2 linked regions of the Tamandua tetradactyla genome follow. The protein of the gene in region 1 interacts with the protein of each later gene in a pairwise test. Links are inferred from orthologs where the notes say so. Each region holds a gene or a part of one and is shown in the gene's direction. Other genes may lie near its edges.

Region 1 (8,030 bases):
GTTTACTAGAGTCCTTTAAAAGGGAAACATTTTGAAGAAATTTCAGATGCAGATGCTTGGAGCTAACAGTTGCTTTAGAGCTAACAGAGACACGGATGTTTGGAGATACTTGGAGAGAACAGATGCCTAGATACAGGTAGAGCTCAACAGACATTGCCATGTGCCTTCCCATGAGATGCTAAGCAAGCCAGAACACAGAACTGTGTCCTGGAGGAACTAAGTGACAGCCCACAGACGCTTAGAGAGGAAACTACTGGCATCAGAAGTGAAAGCAATGAGCTGGGAACAAGGATCAGTAGACACCAGCCACATGCCTTCCTAGCTGATAGAGGAGTTCTGGACAGCATTAGCCTTTCTTGAGGAAAGTTATCTCTTGTTGGTGCCTTAATTTGGACATTTTCACAGCCTTAGAATTGTAACATGCAACTTATTAAATTCCCTTTTTAAAAGTCATTCTATTTTTAGTATATTGTATTCTAGCAGTTTAACTAATACAGCATAAGGAGGTATGTTTTACATTTTAATATCAATAACGACTCATGTACTGATTTCATGGAAAAATCAACTCTTGACTTTGAGATTTTGTACTAATGAAAGTTCAGCTTCTCTTTGTCCTTAGAATAAAGTTGGAAACCTTTAATAGGATCTCCAAGGGTCTGCACAAATGGGGTGCCCAGTCACCACCCTGCCCACTCTTGTTAACCAACCCCTGCTGCACCAATCTCCTTTGTTCCTCAAATAAGCCTATTTGCCTGAAGTGGACTTCTCTTGATCCTTGCCCACTGTTGTGCTTGTTGCTACTTGTACTCCTTCGTCTAATTCAGATCCTCCAGTGTAATCTGAAATTCTCCCTTTTATCTTTGTTCCCTGGCACTCACCAAAATTTGTAATTAGACATTCATTTGTGTGATTATTTATTTTACATCTGAGTGTTTCTCAGACTTGTGTCTTCCAGGAAGAAAGACATTTTACATCCTAAATCATCACACCCATACCATACACACGTTTCAAGTCAAGACCAACATTTCAAGTAAAAATACTTGTTCTCGCCACATTCCAGGCACTCTTATGTTGTCTATGCTATTTCATTTTTAAAAGCGCCAACTGGGACCCTTTAAACTGATTTCATGACCACCTGCAGTTTGGAAAACACTGTATTCTATGCTGTATGTCTAGTTCCAAATGCAGTGCCTTTCAGAAGAAATGTTGACTTAAACAATAGATGTGCAAGGCCTCACGTTTCAGGGTAGTTTTTAATTATTGCTCTATGAAAAAGGCCACAGAGCTCCATTTTTTCCTTTCTCTTTTTCACATATAAGAACACTGCTATTAATGCCACTGAATGCTGTGGTTATATTGTCCTAGAGAGTATATATCATTTATTATGACGACAGTGTTTTTTGGACTCAGGCCCTAAGTTACCTCAAAATGACATGGAATAACAGTCTGTTAAAATGTTTGGGCAGAAAAATCACACATTGCTAATTAAGTTTTCAGAGACTTTTCTTGAACTTTCTCCCTAGATCTGTTTTAATGCTGTGTAGATTATAACTAATTGACTTAACATGCATATCCTTATAATTATACTAAATTTTGCTTTTTTAAAGTAAGATTTTACTATTGTGGGAAAACAGAGCTATTTGATACTCTGGGTTAAGAATGTAATAATGATCTTTATCATTTCAAAAGCACACAGACTGAGTTCTGGTGTTATTTATAATTTTGCTAGTGGAAGAAATAAAATCATCTAAGACAATCTCCAGCCCAATTTTACAGCTGAACTTTTAAACATATTTCTCCTTTTCCACTTCAGAATTTTCTTTATTTCCTAAACTTTATCAGCTGTGGCCATTAAATATCACACCTTTAACATTGAGAAATTTTAACATTCTTAAAGAGAACCATCTTTTAATAATTAATTCATGATTGTTTCCCTTTCAACTTCAAGAATGCCACACATCAGCTTTTCATACCAATAATTCAATGTATTCTAAAGTATAAAACTGCAAAATGGAGTAGAGAGAGCATAAACACTGGAATAGAAGCAAAGTAGGTGGGAAATGGGAAAACGTAAAAGGGTAGAGACCAACTGTCCATCTAGGTGTTAAATCTTACTCTTCTCCACAGTACCTGCCCCTCACTTCAGAGACAGAGGTGATTCACCTTCAGGGGTTTCCTTTACCTGATCCTCCAGCCACCTCTTTCCTCTATTTTTGGCCCCATTTTCTTTCCCTGTCAAAATTCTGAAACATGCATGTCTATGTGTTCTCCCTTTTTTTCTTTTTCTTTTTCTTTTTTTGCATGGGCAGGCACCAGGAATTGAAGCCAGGTCTCCGACATGGCAAGTGAGAACTCTGCCTGCTGAGCTACCGTGGCCCGCGCTATGTGCTCTCCTTTTGATGTCCAGGAATCTGGTTTCCATTCCCAGCACCTCACCAAGTTGTTTAAAGCTACCTTGGAGCCCTTCTGCCACCAGACAGAAGGGCCTTTCCCAGCCTCATGCTCCTTGACTAACCCTGCAGTGAATCCTGCTATAACACCCCCTCTCCTAAGCTTTCTGTGCTCTGGCTTCTGAAACCATGTCCTATGCTGATTCTCCTGCCTCTGTGACTGCTCGTTCGGAATTTCCTCCTCTACTTTTTCTCCAAGGCATGCCCCAGCTCCAGTTGGACTTTCCACTCTTTTCTTTAGAGAGTTCATTTACAACCTCTTTACTGACAACTTCCAAATCTCACTTCTTTCACTGGCAAGCCAGTCTTGCAATTGCTACAGAGTATTTCTGATGGGAAGTTTTGCTGTCATCTCTTGAATGTTCTGCTTTTCCAGCCTCATGGCTCTACAGCAATTTCCCTCTGATCATGAGTTCTCAGTGCCTGGTTTGGCACTGCTCCAGCTCCAGGCCCTGGCTCTTGTAATCCACATGGACTCAATGCTGCTTACTTGTGTGAAAACCTCCTTGGGTCCCACCATTTCCTGCTGCACCTGGCTCTCGGGGTCCTCTCTTATCTGGCCCCTTTCTCTCAGTCCTATCCTATTTTCCACTTGTCTGCCTTATGAGCTGTTCATTCATGGTCAAGCCACCCTCTTGACCTATCAGCAAACCCTGCTCCTTCTTTCCTCCATGGTTCACTACCACTGTCCTCCCCATTGTCCCCATCCACTGAGGTCACAGCCCAAATCAACAGCCGCTGTAGCCCTTCAGCCTCCACCCACAAGGCTCTCATTTCCTTCATTCCCTTAACCACCTCTCTTGTTTTCTGGGCTTTGCTCCCTATCTCCCTGACTAGGACAGGGAGAAAGTCTCCTCCTCTGCCTACAGCATCTAACAGCAGTCCTTATTTACCCACATGCTAAACATGCCACACGCAGAGTGATGGACTCCAGGGTCCTGGCACTGCTGCCCACTGCTTTCTAAGCTGCACTTCTGGAAAGACAGGTGGCTTTCTGCCTATAGATTTCAGGGAGGTCCAGAAGTTTTCCTATTAGTAACTTCTTACTCGCTTCTTATTTCACCTGCTCGTGCTCAACCCACACAAATTAATACCCACAACTTGAAACTATTCTCACAATTACATAGAATTGCATCACGGCTGTGTGTGACAAGCTGCATACATGCTGTGTAGTCCTCTTCTTGACCCAGTCCATTCCTGCCTTAGAACGTCCAATCCATGTACTATTCTCTCTTTCCTCACAGTTTCTAGCGTCTTTACTTCTGGCCCTGTATAGTGAAACTCAGATCGTTAATCCCATATTTGTATGGGCTGTATTGTGTGGGCTGGAAAAGTTAAAAATTCATGGATTTGTGTGTTTCTCCTAAATTATTTTGTCCTATGTCTTTGCCTCTTCCTGAGGTAGCAAAAAATACCAATTTTCATAGGTCATGTCACAGGTTAACAGTCCATGACGTGAAAGCACAGCTGCGTTCTAGAGTTTGATCCTAGGGGGGAAAAAGAATTGAGTGGAGTTTTAACTCGATGTGCTTCGGCGATGGTGCCTTTAAACGCAGCAGTTTCCAACCTAATATTAGGACTGCATCTTTTGAAGTGGAAAGCAGCATCTTTTCCCGGTGGCAAACAATGGCTCAAGTGGAGTGACAAGCTCTATCACTCTAGGCAGGACCTTTGGGAAACGTGCGTTAAGAGGGGGGCGTCCCGTAGGACGGAGCCAAAAGTGGAGTTGCTCTGAGATGCAGGAAACACAGCTGGAAAGGATCCCCAAGTTGTCCATGTTTGGTTCTAGAGCTGCCCGCAAGCTCGGGGACAGCGCCCGGCGAGGGTGTGGTGAAGGAGGTGGGACATCGGGCGAACGGGGCCGTTCCGGCGGTGAGGCCGGTCTAGGCGGCGTCCCCGCCCTACCTCCAGGCCAGCCCGGGGGTCCTCGCCCGTCCGCTGCATCACCCGGACCGTGGACCTCGTGTACCTCTCGCCCCATCAGCGCCGCCGCTGCTCTCCGGGCCTCTCCCTTTGTCCCTTCGGCCCTCACGCCTCGCGGGACGCCGAGCGTCCCCGCGCCGTCGTCCTCCTGAGGAGACGGCCGCCCCGTACCCCCGCACCCTGCGGTCCTGGGGGGGCAGGCGAGCCTGGCCGAGAGCGCGCGCTCCCGTAGCATCCCAGCCAGTCAGGGCCGCCAGCCCTTTCGGAGGGCGAGGAAAGGCCGCCCGACGCGCCGTGGGTGGGGAGAGGGCAGGCCCAGGCCGCGTTCCCCCCGCCTCCACTCGCGACCACGCCCCGCCACGTCCCCCGCCTCCCCCGGCAGCGGGCCGGGTCGCCCTCTCAGGCCGCCCCCTGGCGGGCAGTGTCGGCGCGGGTCCGTGGCGGCGGCGGCGGCGGCGGGCCCGGGGTTGCCATGGTGACCGGCAGCAGCCGCCGCCACAGCAGGGCCGGCCCCAGCGCCAGCGCCGGCCGCGGCTCGGGCCCGGGCTTAGTGTGTGGGTGAGCAGCGGCGGCGCGGCCGAACCGGGGAGCGGGCGCTGCCGGCGGCCTCAGCATGGAGGACGGCTTCTCGAGCTACAGCAGCCTTTATGACACGTCTTCGTTGCTCCAATTCTGCAACGGTGAGGGGCGGCCGCGCGGGAGGGCCGCGGGCCGCGGGGCCGGGGCGGCGGCGGCCGGGGCGGGAGAGCGGGGCAGGCGGGGGCCGAGCTGAGGGGCCGAGGCCCGGCGGCCGCGGGCGAGGCCGCGCAAACTTGCTCCTGAGGGGCGCGCAGTTCCCGCCGCCTCTGGCGCATTGTGCTGGGGCTGCGGGGCCGCGCCTCGCCCCCGGCCGGAGCCGAGCGGAGTCGGGCGGCGGTCGCTCCCATCCATCGCCCGCGGCTCGGGCCGGTTGCCGCACGGACTCCCGAGCTGACCATGACGAGAGCCGGCGAGCGGACCAAGACGGGGAGCGGAGGGAGCCGGAGAGGCCCGGGCAGCCTCGGGGTTCCAGGGGAACGTGTTGCTTTTCTGCTTGCAAACTCACATCTCTTCGGAAATTACTGGATGAGGAACTCGAAAACAAATCACTTAATCACAGAGCACTCCTACGAGGATGCACGCAGTGTTTGTTGCTGGTAGACCCTCAGAATCCGTTCAGATTTACTTTAATTGCGCGATCACAGTTTAATGCACTCCAGATCTTTGTAAATGGAAAGGCAAAGTGGACCTGGCTTCAAAGTATGGTCGTTTATTTTGTTTACTGGGTTATAGATTTTTCTGCGTTTTTTTGTTTTTACAGGAAAGAAACATTAATAGCTACTAATATGGCATCTTTTAAAAATATAAAATCCTTTATGCTTGAAAGATTTTAGTCTCATTTTGCGAGGTTGAGAAAGAGTTCCACAGCACACTGCATGTTTTATCAGAACATGATGCCTAATAATTCATGCACGAAGTTAAGCATACATTTTATATATTGGATATATTGCTTCGTCAAAGGAACCCGAAAGTTTGTTAGAGAAAAATAAAATGTATTTTATAGAATTTGTCTATAAGTGCAGTCGGGGTAATTTTGAATTCTAGACTCTGACAGCTCCCGCAATTTCTTTTGCAATTGTAATTGTGATTTGGGGAAACTTTTCTCGTTATTCAACACCTGTTTGCAAACAGGAGACCTTAGCTGTAGCAGTAAAGAGTACTGAGTGTGTTGCTTCATCTCTGTAGTGGTATTTCGAACACTAGCCAAAGTGATTTTCTCTTTCGTGGCAGAGTGTATATTCTGGTAGTTTTTATAGCTTATAATTTTCATATTAACAACATGTGGACCTTCATTAACTTAGTAATGCCCCTTTCGGAGGAATGAAAGAAAGTTTTTACTTTCTCCAAACTTAACCACAATTTCCTAGAGCAGAGTTTTGAGCCTCAGAAGGGGTTGATGGCAGGTAGGAAGTATTTGGCACTCTGCAGGCTTCTGGAACACTTTATAATATACAGCCTGTAGGTTGAATAAATACCTCAATTAAATTTTGAGTAGTTTTCTTAACTGACTTGTAATCAGTCATACTTGAATTGGTAGTTTTGATCTACAAGTTAAGTAGATCTGTCCTCATTACAGCTTATGATAAAAATTTTCCCTGTGTTGGTGGTAAAAGATGTATGAAATGACTTCCAGGCATAAAGATATTAAAAAATCAATATGTGGTCATATCATTGACCGTTTGACCTGGGATATGAAAACGAACCTAGATATTTTTGTTTTAGCAGTTGTTTTGGGGCCTGGTCATATTGTTCGTAAATAGCAATTCAGTCACAAAGTTGACCTCCACATCTGTTCATGAATTGTTTCAGCCATTTCCAATGAGTTGCTAGTTCAGACATATTATGGTATATAACTGATAATGGTGTCTAGAAGAAAGTAAAAACCAGCTCTTATGTATTGTCTAGGTAACAGTGTTGAGAAAATCTCTTTTAAATAACTAGAATTAAGCAGTAAGATCACTTCAGAACACAAGTGAATTATAACTGTTGAATTACTTTTCTCAAAAAACCCTTAGCTGTGTTTATTATTTTTTAAGAAGTAAATTCAGAGGAAGAGTAGATTACGGTGGGACAGAAATGAATGCTAACTGATGATGTCTTAGGCAACAGATGTTTTGATGTAAAATTGTTCATTTTAAGAGACCTCCATTTAAGTAAAGTATACATGAATACAATTCAGTTAATTAGTATGATGATACAGTGAAAATAGTGGAACACAGAAATGGCATTCACAATGACTAAATTAAACATTTGGATATTTCATTAGCTACGTTGGACTTTTTTCTTTTTAAATAGAGATTTGCATTACAATGGCAAGATACAACAGCATAACATATAAACTCAGACATTATCTTAGTTGAACATGCTCCTTGCTTTTGATATTGAGAGAAACTAAAAAAGACCTAGTTAGATCTTTCAGCTAGCTTCAGAAAATTTAATCCATGCTTGTTATTTGGATGACAGTTACAGTTTAATTCCATCTACTGGGATAAAGATAGGAGATAGGGTATAAATGAGAAGGGAGAAAGAGATAACTGCTCTAATGAATGAACTTTCTATCTTCTTATATTGTCTTCTTGCCCTCTCTCCTACTTCATTTGTATGAAAAGTGATCTTATTGTTTAATTCTGGTTATTTAAAAGAGATTTTTTGCAAAAGTATAAATGAAAAGTTAGGCAATATCGAGACTTCTGAAAAGGCTGTTCGTTCTCATCCCGTTACTGGAAAATTTGTGCAATGTTTTTCCTTCTAAGTATTTAAAACTCTGTAAAGTGAGCTAGAAGTCACGAACTTCTTATGCTGTCAGAAAAACTACAGTAATGGAAAAGAGGACGAGAACTGTCATTTATAACCCTTCCTTGGGGTCAGCTTTGTTTCTTCTCCCCTTGCCCATTGGAAAAATGAGGTCCAAAGAATTTGGATGCCATTCTGAATTTTTATATGTACTATATATAAATATCTTTGTATCTGTTATATGGTATTTATTTTAAAGTATACAATTAAGTGACTTTTAGTAAATTCACAGAATTGTGCAAGCATCAGCACTATCTAATTTTTGAATATTTCATTACCCCGCAA
Region 2 (8,230 bases), on another chromosome or scaffold:
AAGGTATTCTGTGTACTTTTAGATTTTCTTTAGGACATGCTAACAGGTGAGGGTGGGAGGGGAATCAGATCTCCAGTTGGTGACACTCCCGTCCCACCCCACCACCCCCAACCTCACTCTTCAATCTTGAGCTCGTGGACCCTGGGGATCCCCTGCACGCCTGGCCGTCGGAGCTCGGGCCGGGCACGGCGGATCACCGTCTCCAGTGCTGCACGATAGCAGTGGGTTCGGAGGCTGGGGCCTGCTTTCTGTAGCCGCTCAGCATATTCCTCTAGAGCATGGCAGGCCCCCTCCCGCAGCCTGTAGGGCAGTTCACAGCCAGGCAGCCCAGCTACCCAGTGGCTCAGTGGGTAGCCACCAGGGTCACTCAGCTTCATGTAGCAGCAGCCCACGGAGGCCAGGGCTGCAACCTCAGAGCAGCAGGAGAAGTGCCTCAGCAAGGCGACACTCAGATCCCCACAGGCATGGAGGCCTGCCAGCAGCAAGCGGGCCCCACCCTGAGGCAGGGGCTCCAGTGGAAGCAGGAGCTCCTCACACAGGGCTGTGGGGTCCACCCACCTAACCATGTGGTGTGGAGGGTGGCGAGGGCCAGCTTGAACCACCTGTGGAGGCAAGAAAGGACAAGGGCAGATGGGAAGTCTGCTGTCCCCATGCCACTCAGGCCACAGGAAAGGATCTGTCCTGTGTTTCCTCCCAAGGAGGAACATGGCAGAGAAGCTGGGGCATAGCAGAGAGCTGGACCATGAATGAGGAGATGGGATAAATTCTGGATCCTACCAATTGTTAACTTTGCAAAACTTCATTTTGATCTCCATTCACAGGATGTATCCGTGTGGAAAGCACTTTGTAACCTAGTGAGTGCCTGTGAGATATGGAATGGCTTTGGGGAAGAGGGGACCTGGGGAAGAGGGAGCAGATACAGGGGCCATACCATCTCAAACCGAGAAACCTGAAAGAGAATTCAGCCTTGGTGCCCAATTACAGCCAAGCAGACCCTATTCTTAAAGTCCTGGCTGCAGGAGGGAGTGGCTTACCTTTGGGTTCCTCTTCTCCTCTTTCTCCAGAGCCTGCAGGAGCGCTTCATCCAGCCGCTGGGCTCTCTCCACCAGTCTCTGATCTCCTTCAATGCTCTTCACCAAAAGCCCCAGTCCCAAAGACATGAAGCGGGAGAGATGGCCCTGAAGTCACGAGAGGGTAGAGACAACCCTGTTTAGTGCCTATTCGACTATCACCCCCCTTTGGACCCACTGAAGGCTTAAATTCTGTCCTGCCTGGTTCCACCATTCTCAGCATTTGCCTCCCTGGCCTGTAGGCCTGACAGCCTCTCCCTTCCAGCTGTTCTGTCCCCCACAACTCAAAAGAACAGTATATAAGAGGTCTGGCTCACCTGGCCTGAGCCTACATCCACAACCTGGGTGCAGCCTGTGAGGTCACTCAGCTTCTTCACCAACTGAAAAAGGAGGGACTCCTGGCCATTTGTTCTTGATTCCCAGGGAAAACCCCCGTAATGAAAGTAAAGGAACTGAAGATGGCAGAGGAAGATGGACAGAGAGAGCCACCGAAGAGGCAACAGATACGGAAAGCAAAATGGGCGAGGGGAGAATGGGTGCTGACCCCAGGTGCAGGCTACTCTCCTTACTCCTCTCAGGTTAGTGAGTCACCCTCCCTCATAAATGAGGAAGAGCCCTGCTGTGAATCCATGAGCAGGTTGTGGACATATGAGAAGAGGAATAAGATTGTTATTCAGACATAGCCACTGACCAACCCAGAAAGAGGTGGGGGAAAAGAAAAAAGGAGCATGGAAATATGATTATATAGTAGGTCTACCAAGGAAGGGGGCTTCTAGGAACTCTGGTCCTGCATGTGAGGTAAGGAACATGTAATTTTGTACCCCAGGACTCCCAGATACCACCTATATGCCCAGCCATTTCTTCACCTCTCCCAGCCTTCGGATCTCATGTTGCTTCTTGGGCCTGACATGTTTCCGGAAGGGAGCTGTCAGTCGGGAGCTCTGGCTGGGGTTCTCCAGGAATTCTGAAGGTGTCTGGAACCCAGGAGTCCGGGTAAAGGCCAGGGCAAAGGCTGTGGACTTCAGGGCCAGCAGGGTGAGTGGCCACACTGACCTGTACCTGAGATAGCCCGGCCCAGGCCAACAATGAAGAGTCCCATCACACCCTGAGTGCAGCAATTTACAACCCAGGGGACCGAGAAAGCCCTTGTGCGATTCTCTGAGCAATGGCTAGCTACAAGGCTCAGTGCCCTGAGTTCTCACCCATACCTGACCACCTCCCCTTCCCCAGGCATCCCCAGCAACATCGTGGCCAGCTGTGGTGGGTTCAGTCCATCCAGTGCTTCCTGCCATGAACAAGGGAGTGTGCCCCACAAGTTGTCAGTGAAAAATTCCTGCAAAAGGGGAAAAGCCATCAGCAGACCACTACCATTCCCATTCTACGCCACCCGACTCACAGCTCCCATCTTGTCTCCTGGCTTTTCCCAGCACTGTTGCTACACAGGGCCACTGGCTGCAACCAGCAAGTATCTTGTACTCATCCTTGAGACCTCTTCTCTGAAGTCTGCTCCAGCCTCCCACAGTTCCCAGGTGGTTGACTTCTTCCTCTGTGCCCAGACTGCATTCTGGACAAACCTCTCTGTTTAGAAATCTCCTCACTTATCTATGACTTGTTTTCTCTACTCAACTGCACTTCTTAACAGCAAGAATGGTGTCTTGTTCACGTCTGCATCCCCACAGTGACTGACAGACAATAGTATGTTACCATTTAGTAACCTATCATTATTTGTGCCAGACATCAAGTGTGTTTATTCATTCATTTGGTTAACACAAATTCTGGGGCACACAAATTACTGTTCCAGGCTTGGGATACAGCCCTGAACCAGAGATGATGCTCCTGCTCTCGTGGGGTTTACATTAAAACAATTTTTTTTTTCAGATATCAAATGCCACAAACAATAAAACGCTAATGAAACAGTAGTGGAGGATCTGAGAGATGACTATTTTAGATAGCGTGATGAGGGAAGACTTGTCAGAGGAGGTGACATATGAACTCAATCTTGAATGACAGACACGAATCAGGCATATAAAAAAAATACAGGTAATAGCAAAACTGATGTAATACTTTAATCTGCCAGGCACTGTTCTAGACATTTTAGATGAATTTATACATTCAATCTCTAGAGCAACCGTATGAGGTAGGTACTGTTGTTATCCCCCATTTTACAGATAAGGAAACTGATGCACAGCTATTAACTGGCCCAAGTCAAGAGATTCTAAGTAGCTGAGCCAATTTTGAAAGCCGTACAACTCTAGAGACCTTGCTCTTATCCATTCTGCTCTATTGCCTCTCTCTTGAAAGAGCCGTTCCAGTCTGAGCAGTAAGTGTGGAGGCCTGGAAGCCTACAATCTGTGTGGAACAGGAAGCAAGCCAGTGTAGGTGTGGCACAGTGAACATGGGAGAGAATGAAATGTGAAGGGACTGAAGAGGCAGCAGGAGCCAGATCAAGTAGGGCTTTACCTTATATATAAGGATTAGGACTTTACACAAAGCACCCAGGAAGCAAGGTGAGTAATCATGTTCAGGTTTACATGATAGAGATCAATCTGGTGGCTCTGGAAATTTGGTAATAGAGGGCCAGAGCTAAACCCAGATCTGTTAGCTATTGTAGTCGTTTAGAGCAGAGGCAGTGGTTTGACCCAGGGTGGTAGCACCGGAGAGGAAGAGAAGTGGATAAATCTATTATCTATTCTGGAGGTAGAGGCAACAGGACTTGCTGAATGATTTAACTGGGGATCAAGCTAAGGAAAGAGTGGAATCAAGGATGACTTCTGGGTCTGAATATTTCAGTGGATACTGGTGCCATTTACACATTATCTAATTTATTCGTCACAATGACTTATTCTTCCCTTCAGACAGAGATCCATTTTACAGCTGAGGAAACCAGGAAGAGGGAGATTTGTAAAAACAATCTTGTTTTAAGGCAAACACAGAAGGGGAGGATTCTAGTCCAGTCTGTCTGATTGCAAGCTGAAACTGTCCACAACACAAACACACGAGGTCAGTCAGAACTGGGTGAACATACGTGTTCTAGAAACACCTCACATGTTCCTAGAATGGGAGTTCAATGTGACTGCAATACGGCTCACATGTCTATGCGTTTATTCACCTTGATTTGGGAAAATTAGAAAACCACCTACGTATCAGAAATATTAATATTTGCAGCAGATGAAAAAAAATGGGAGTGGGGGTGGAAGAACCAACCCAATTTTAACCCTTTTCGTAGACACAGAAGACTAAAATTCATATAAGAAAAGTGCTCAGGGCCAACTCCGGATTCTCTCCCTGCCGTGGGCACCTAAGCGATCACACACCCAGTACTTGCCCCGGGAGCACCCCCCACACCCCTGCGGCCTCACGATGATGTAGGCGTCCAGGATGGAGCGGTAGAGCGCCAGGACACGGGTGAGGTTCACAGCTAGCCGCCTCCTCGCCTCGAGAGAGAGGCCGCGGGCAGAGACGCCCGGCATCCGGGGCTCCTGCCGGTCGAGAGGGCAGCGAGATCGCGCCGAAGGATCCAAGGTCACCACCACGCAGGTCCAAGACGCGGGCTGGATTAAACTCTGCGGGGGGCACGGGAAGAAAAGGTTTGGGGTCTGGCCCCCAACGCTGCCTTTCCGGCATCTCAGGCTGGGGCTGAAGATATGAGGCACCCCCTTGACGTCATAGATCGCAACTTCTCACAGCGCTGAGATGTCAGCGTCGTGAGACAGGAGGGGCAGGCTGACAGAGGACTGACGCCACAGAGGCTTGCGGCGGAGCCACGCCCACGAAGGGGGCGGGCCAAGTTCCAGATCGCGCGCCTTCCTGTACACGCCCCTCCCCTCCCGGAAGTAAGGTCACGTCTCGGCGCGCTTCCGTTCTGGTTTGTCGCGGCTTCCCCGCACCTTCGAGTTGTACCTCCACGGGGCTAGAGGGGCCGGGGAGCGCATCCCGCCCCCGCCCCCACCCACCCCGCCCCCCCCACCGGCGCCGCTGCCGCTCCTCACACACTCGGAATCCCTAACTTCGCTCCCCGAGGTAGGGGCTCTGCGGGCGCGCGCGCGCCGGCCGCCAGCGCGTTCCAACCCGCGCGCCTTCCGTCCCGGCCCTCGTCGACGGGCGCCAGTTTCCGCATCCGGCTCCGGGCGCTTCCGGTCTTAACAGCGCACACCCTGAAGGTAGGTTTGTTGGAGCATTGGTCCCGGCCTGGGTGTGTTGGGGAAACGATCTCCGTGGCGAGAATCAAAGTGCTTTCGCCGAGGTGGGCTCACCGAGCCTGAATTTCCCTCCGCTCCTCCCCCCCGCTGATAAGTGGCCCCTTCTTGGGAGAAGGATTTGGATGAGATGTATTGGAGACTCCCCCCACCTGGAGCTAAGAGAAAGGGGTACCTGGATTTGTATTTCTATTGGTGGAACCCGGGGATGTCTAGATAACCTAGAGGTCATCTGTGCCATGCCCGTCCCTGCGTTTGAGCATATTTATAGTACCCTCCCTGGATAAATCTTTATAAAACTCAACTATTCTGGTATTCCAGACTCACAGAGAGTTCGAGCTCCACGGGCTCCCCAGCCCTTTCGGTTAACAAATGAGGCTGAGACTTAGAGAGGGAACGACCCTCCTAAGACCATGCGGCTCCCAACTCAGAGCAGTGTGCTCCGTTCGTTAATTCCCTTTGCATCTCATTCCTCTTCTACCTGGGAGGTTGCTCTGCTATCTTAACTTCTTCCTTAAGTCCTACGGAGATCTGTCTTTTCTTATTCTTCTCCCAGGTTTATGGGCTCGATTATCAGGGTAACTTTCTTCCCCAGGGTATACTACAAACTTCCAGATGTTGGTTTTGGGGATTCAGCAGAGAATGAGTCCCACATCCTCCTTTCATCCATAAGCCACTCTCCCCAACTGCTTTCCCACCATCTACTGTCTTCATGTCTACCTTACTTCTAAATCTGGATTTTGGGGAACCTCCCCCCAAAAAGACATTAGAGGGGAATGCCAAGCACCGAAATTTTGTCAAGAAGCGGCGGCTCTTGGAACGGAGAGGCTTTTTGAATAAGAAGAACCAGCCCCCTAGCAAGAATCCTAGGTTGCACTCAGAACCTCCAAAGAAAGGGGAAGCTCCTAGGGTAGATGGCACTTGGAAGGGTCCTCCCATCCCAAAAAAGAAGAAGAAAACTGTGTCCAGCAGTGAGTCAGAGCAGTCCCTGGACAAGAAAGCCACAGTGTCTTGGCTGACCCCAGCCCCTTTACAGAAGCCTGGATCTGTTGTAGCTAAAGTAGATTTGCTGGGGGAGTTCCAGAGCGCCCTTCCAAAGGTTAAGAGCCGCTCAGCTCGCTCCCAGAAGAAGGGCCCCCAGAAGAACCCTCCTCAGAAGAATGGTCCACAGAAGGATTCCACTCAAGCACACTCAGAGAGTAAATGCACTGGAGCATCCCAGAAAATACCAAGAAAGATGGTGGCAATTGACTGTGAGATGGTGGGCACAGGACCCAAGGGGCATGTCAGTTCTTTAGCGCGATGTAGTATTGTCAACTACAATGGAGATGTGCTTTATGACGAATACGTCCTTCCCCCCTGTCGCATTGTGGACTACAGGACCAGATGGAGTGGTATCCGGAAGCAGCACATGGCGAATGCCACACCCTTCAAGATTGCTCGGAGCCAGGTGAGGGACATGGGGCATGCTGGTGGCAGTAACGTGGGTAGGGGAAGGTCCGTGTCATTTTTCTGGCAAAGGATATATCACCTTGGGAAGATATCAAAAGGATTGGGAAGGTTGGGAGGGGGATATTAGATGATTAAGGCTCCTGTTGGGGTAAGGTGAAAGGCAGGAAGTTTAGAATTAGGTGATGTAGCAGACTTCATTAGCCTGCACCTATTTTAGGTGCCAAGTAGGTTCCTGATTTGGGAAACCGGAAATCTGCATAGAGAAGTAACAGCCACTGATGTAACTGGACAGAACAGCAGCACGAGTGCTGGGGAGAGGGCTGAACTCGGAAATACCTTATAGAGTTTGTGCCTGTGCTTACGAGCAGAGAGGTAGAGAAGGCTTCCAAGCAAGAAGTAGCCTGAGCAAAGTATTGGTGGTAGGAGAGGGCAGAAAGTTGAGAAAACACTGAGGCATATTTATATAACTGGAATAGGAGGGCTGTGATAAAGAGATATAGAGGGCTGGTTGTGTCTGGGTTCTCATCTCATTCATTGATCAAACCTACTCATTCTAGTCCTGTGCTGAATGCTGGGATCACAACAAATGAACAGGAAAGGAGAGTGAGGGAGGAGAGGGGAAAGGAGGAAGTGGAGAGAGGAAGAGAGCAAGGAGAAAGGAGAGCCTGCCGACCTTTGGAGGCCTCCAGAGGGCACCCTTGGTCCACTGTTTTGCAATTTCAGCTCTACTTTTTTGCCATTCCTAGACAACACTGTTCCAAGAATTCCTTTTATTTCCACAATATGGTCAATTGTTGGGGGATTCATCAGAGGTGGATTGCCAGTTTTTTAGGAAGGACTTGGAAGGAAGCAATGAAGAAAGTCCTTTGCACAAGGGGCACAGTTTAGGCACAGGCTCGAGAGGGGCAGAATATGGGGTGGGTCTGAAACAGCAGATCCTCTTAGCTTTAATGCGAGCTGTGTGTTGAGGTTAATACGAACTAAGGGTAGTGGTGGAGAGTGAACCCATATGCATACCCATTTGCATACAATCTGGAGCTTCTGTCACCTCTTTGGAGCCCATCTTTGACTCTCAGGGTCCAGCCACATGTCTAAGGCCAGCACAGTAATAATGGTTAAAGGGCTTGTACGGGACCAAGCAGCAAACCAGAACTGAACTAGTTACATGAACATCTCAAATGCAAGTGTGATTTAGGGCTGAAATCAAATTAATTTGACATTAGAGTAGACACTAATAGGAAGGTAAGGAGGCACTGGTGATACATGTTCTCACGAGGTTACACTATGGAAATTACTTACTTGTCTGAAATAGAGGGAGTGGGTTTGGGGGGAAAGAAAACTTACGGGAGAATGGGCATTTCAAGGATGGGGCACGTGGGCAGTAAGTGGAAAGAACTCTGGACTGCGTTGGGCTTTTAGGACACAGGAGCTCCACTTTTGATTCCTCCTCACCGCCCCCTCTGCCATGCCTATTTCAGATCTTGAAGATACTGGCAGGGAAGATAGTGGTGG

What was found.
Region 2: the proteins of EML1 (region 1) and ISG20L2 interact in binary tests that used the Homo sapiens proteins (3 or more experiments, as listed by UniProt). The two-hybrid records come from large-scale screens. The link is inferred for Tamandua tetradactyla from reciprocal best matches to the Homo sapiens genes EML1 and ISG20L2.

Annotation. Positions count from the first base shown.
Region 1 is NC_135338.1:61,048,400-61,056,429, forward strand, and holds the start of EML1 (echinoderm microtubule-associated protein-like 1), read left to right. Parts: upstream 1-4,929; 5' UTR 4,930-4,986; coding exon 4,987-5,053; intron 5,054-8,030. UniProt on the Homo sapiens protein: Modulates the assembly and organization of the microtubule cytoskeleton, and probably plays a role in regulating the orientation of the mitotic spindle and the orientation of the plane of cell division.
Region 2 is NC_135330.1:9,718,035-9,726,264, reverse strand, and holds the start of ISG20L2 (interferon-stimulated 20 kDa exonuclease-like 2), read left to right. Parts: upstream 1-5,098; 5' UTR 5,099-5,230; intron 5,231-5,231; exon of another isoform or gene 5,232-5,313; intron 5,314-5,861; 5' UTR 5,862-5,978; coding exon 5,979-6,716; intron 6,717-8,196; coding exon 8,197-8,230. Other genes in the region: METTL25B (methyltransferase-like protein 25B), read right to left, coding at 118-602, 1,035-1,178, 1,388-1,450, 1,937-2,129, 2,279-2,403, 4,416-4,694. UniProt on the Homo sapiens protein: 3'-> 5'-exoribonuclease involved in ribosome biogenesis in the processing of the 12S pre-rRNA. Displays a strong specificity for a 3'-end containing a free hydroxyl group.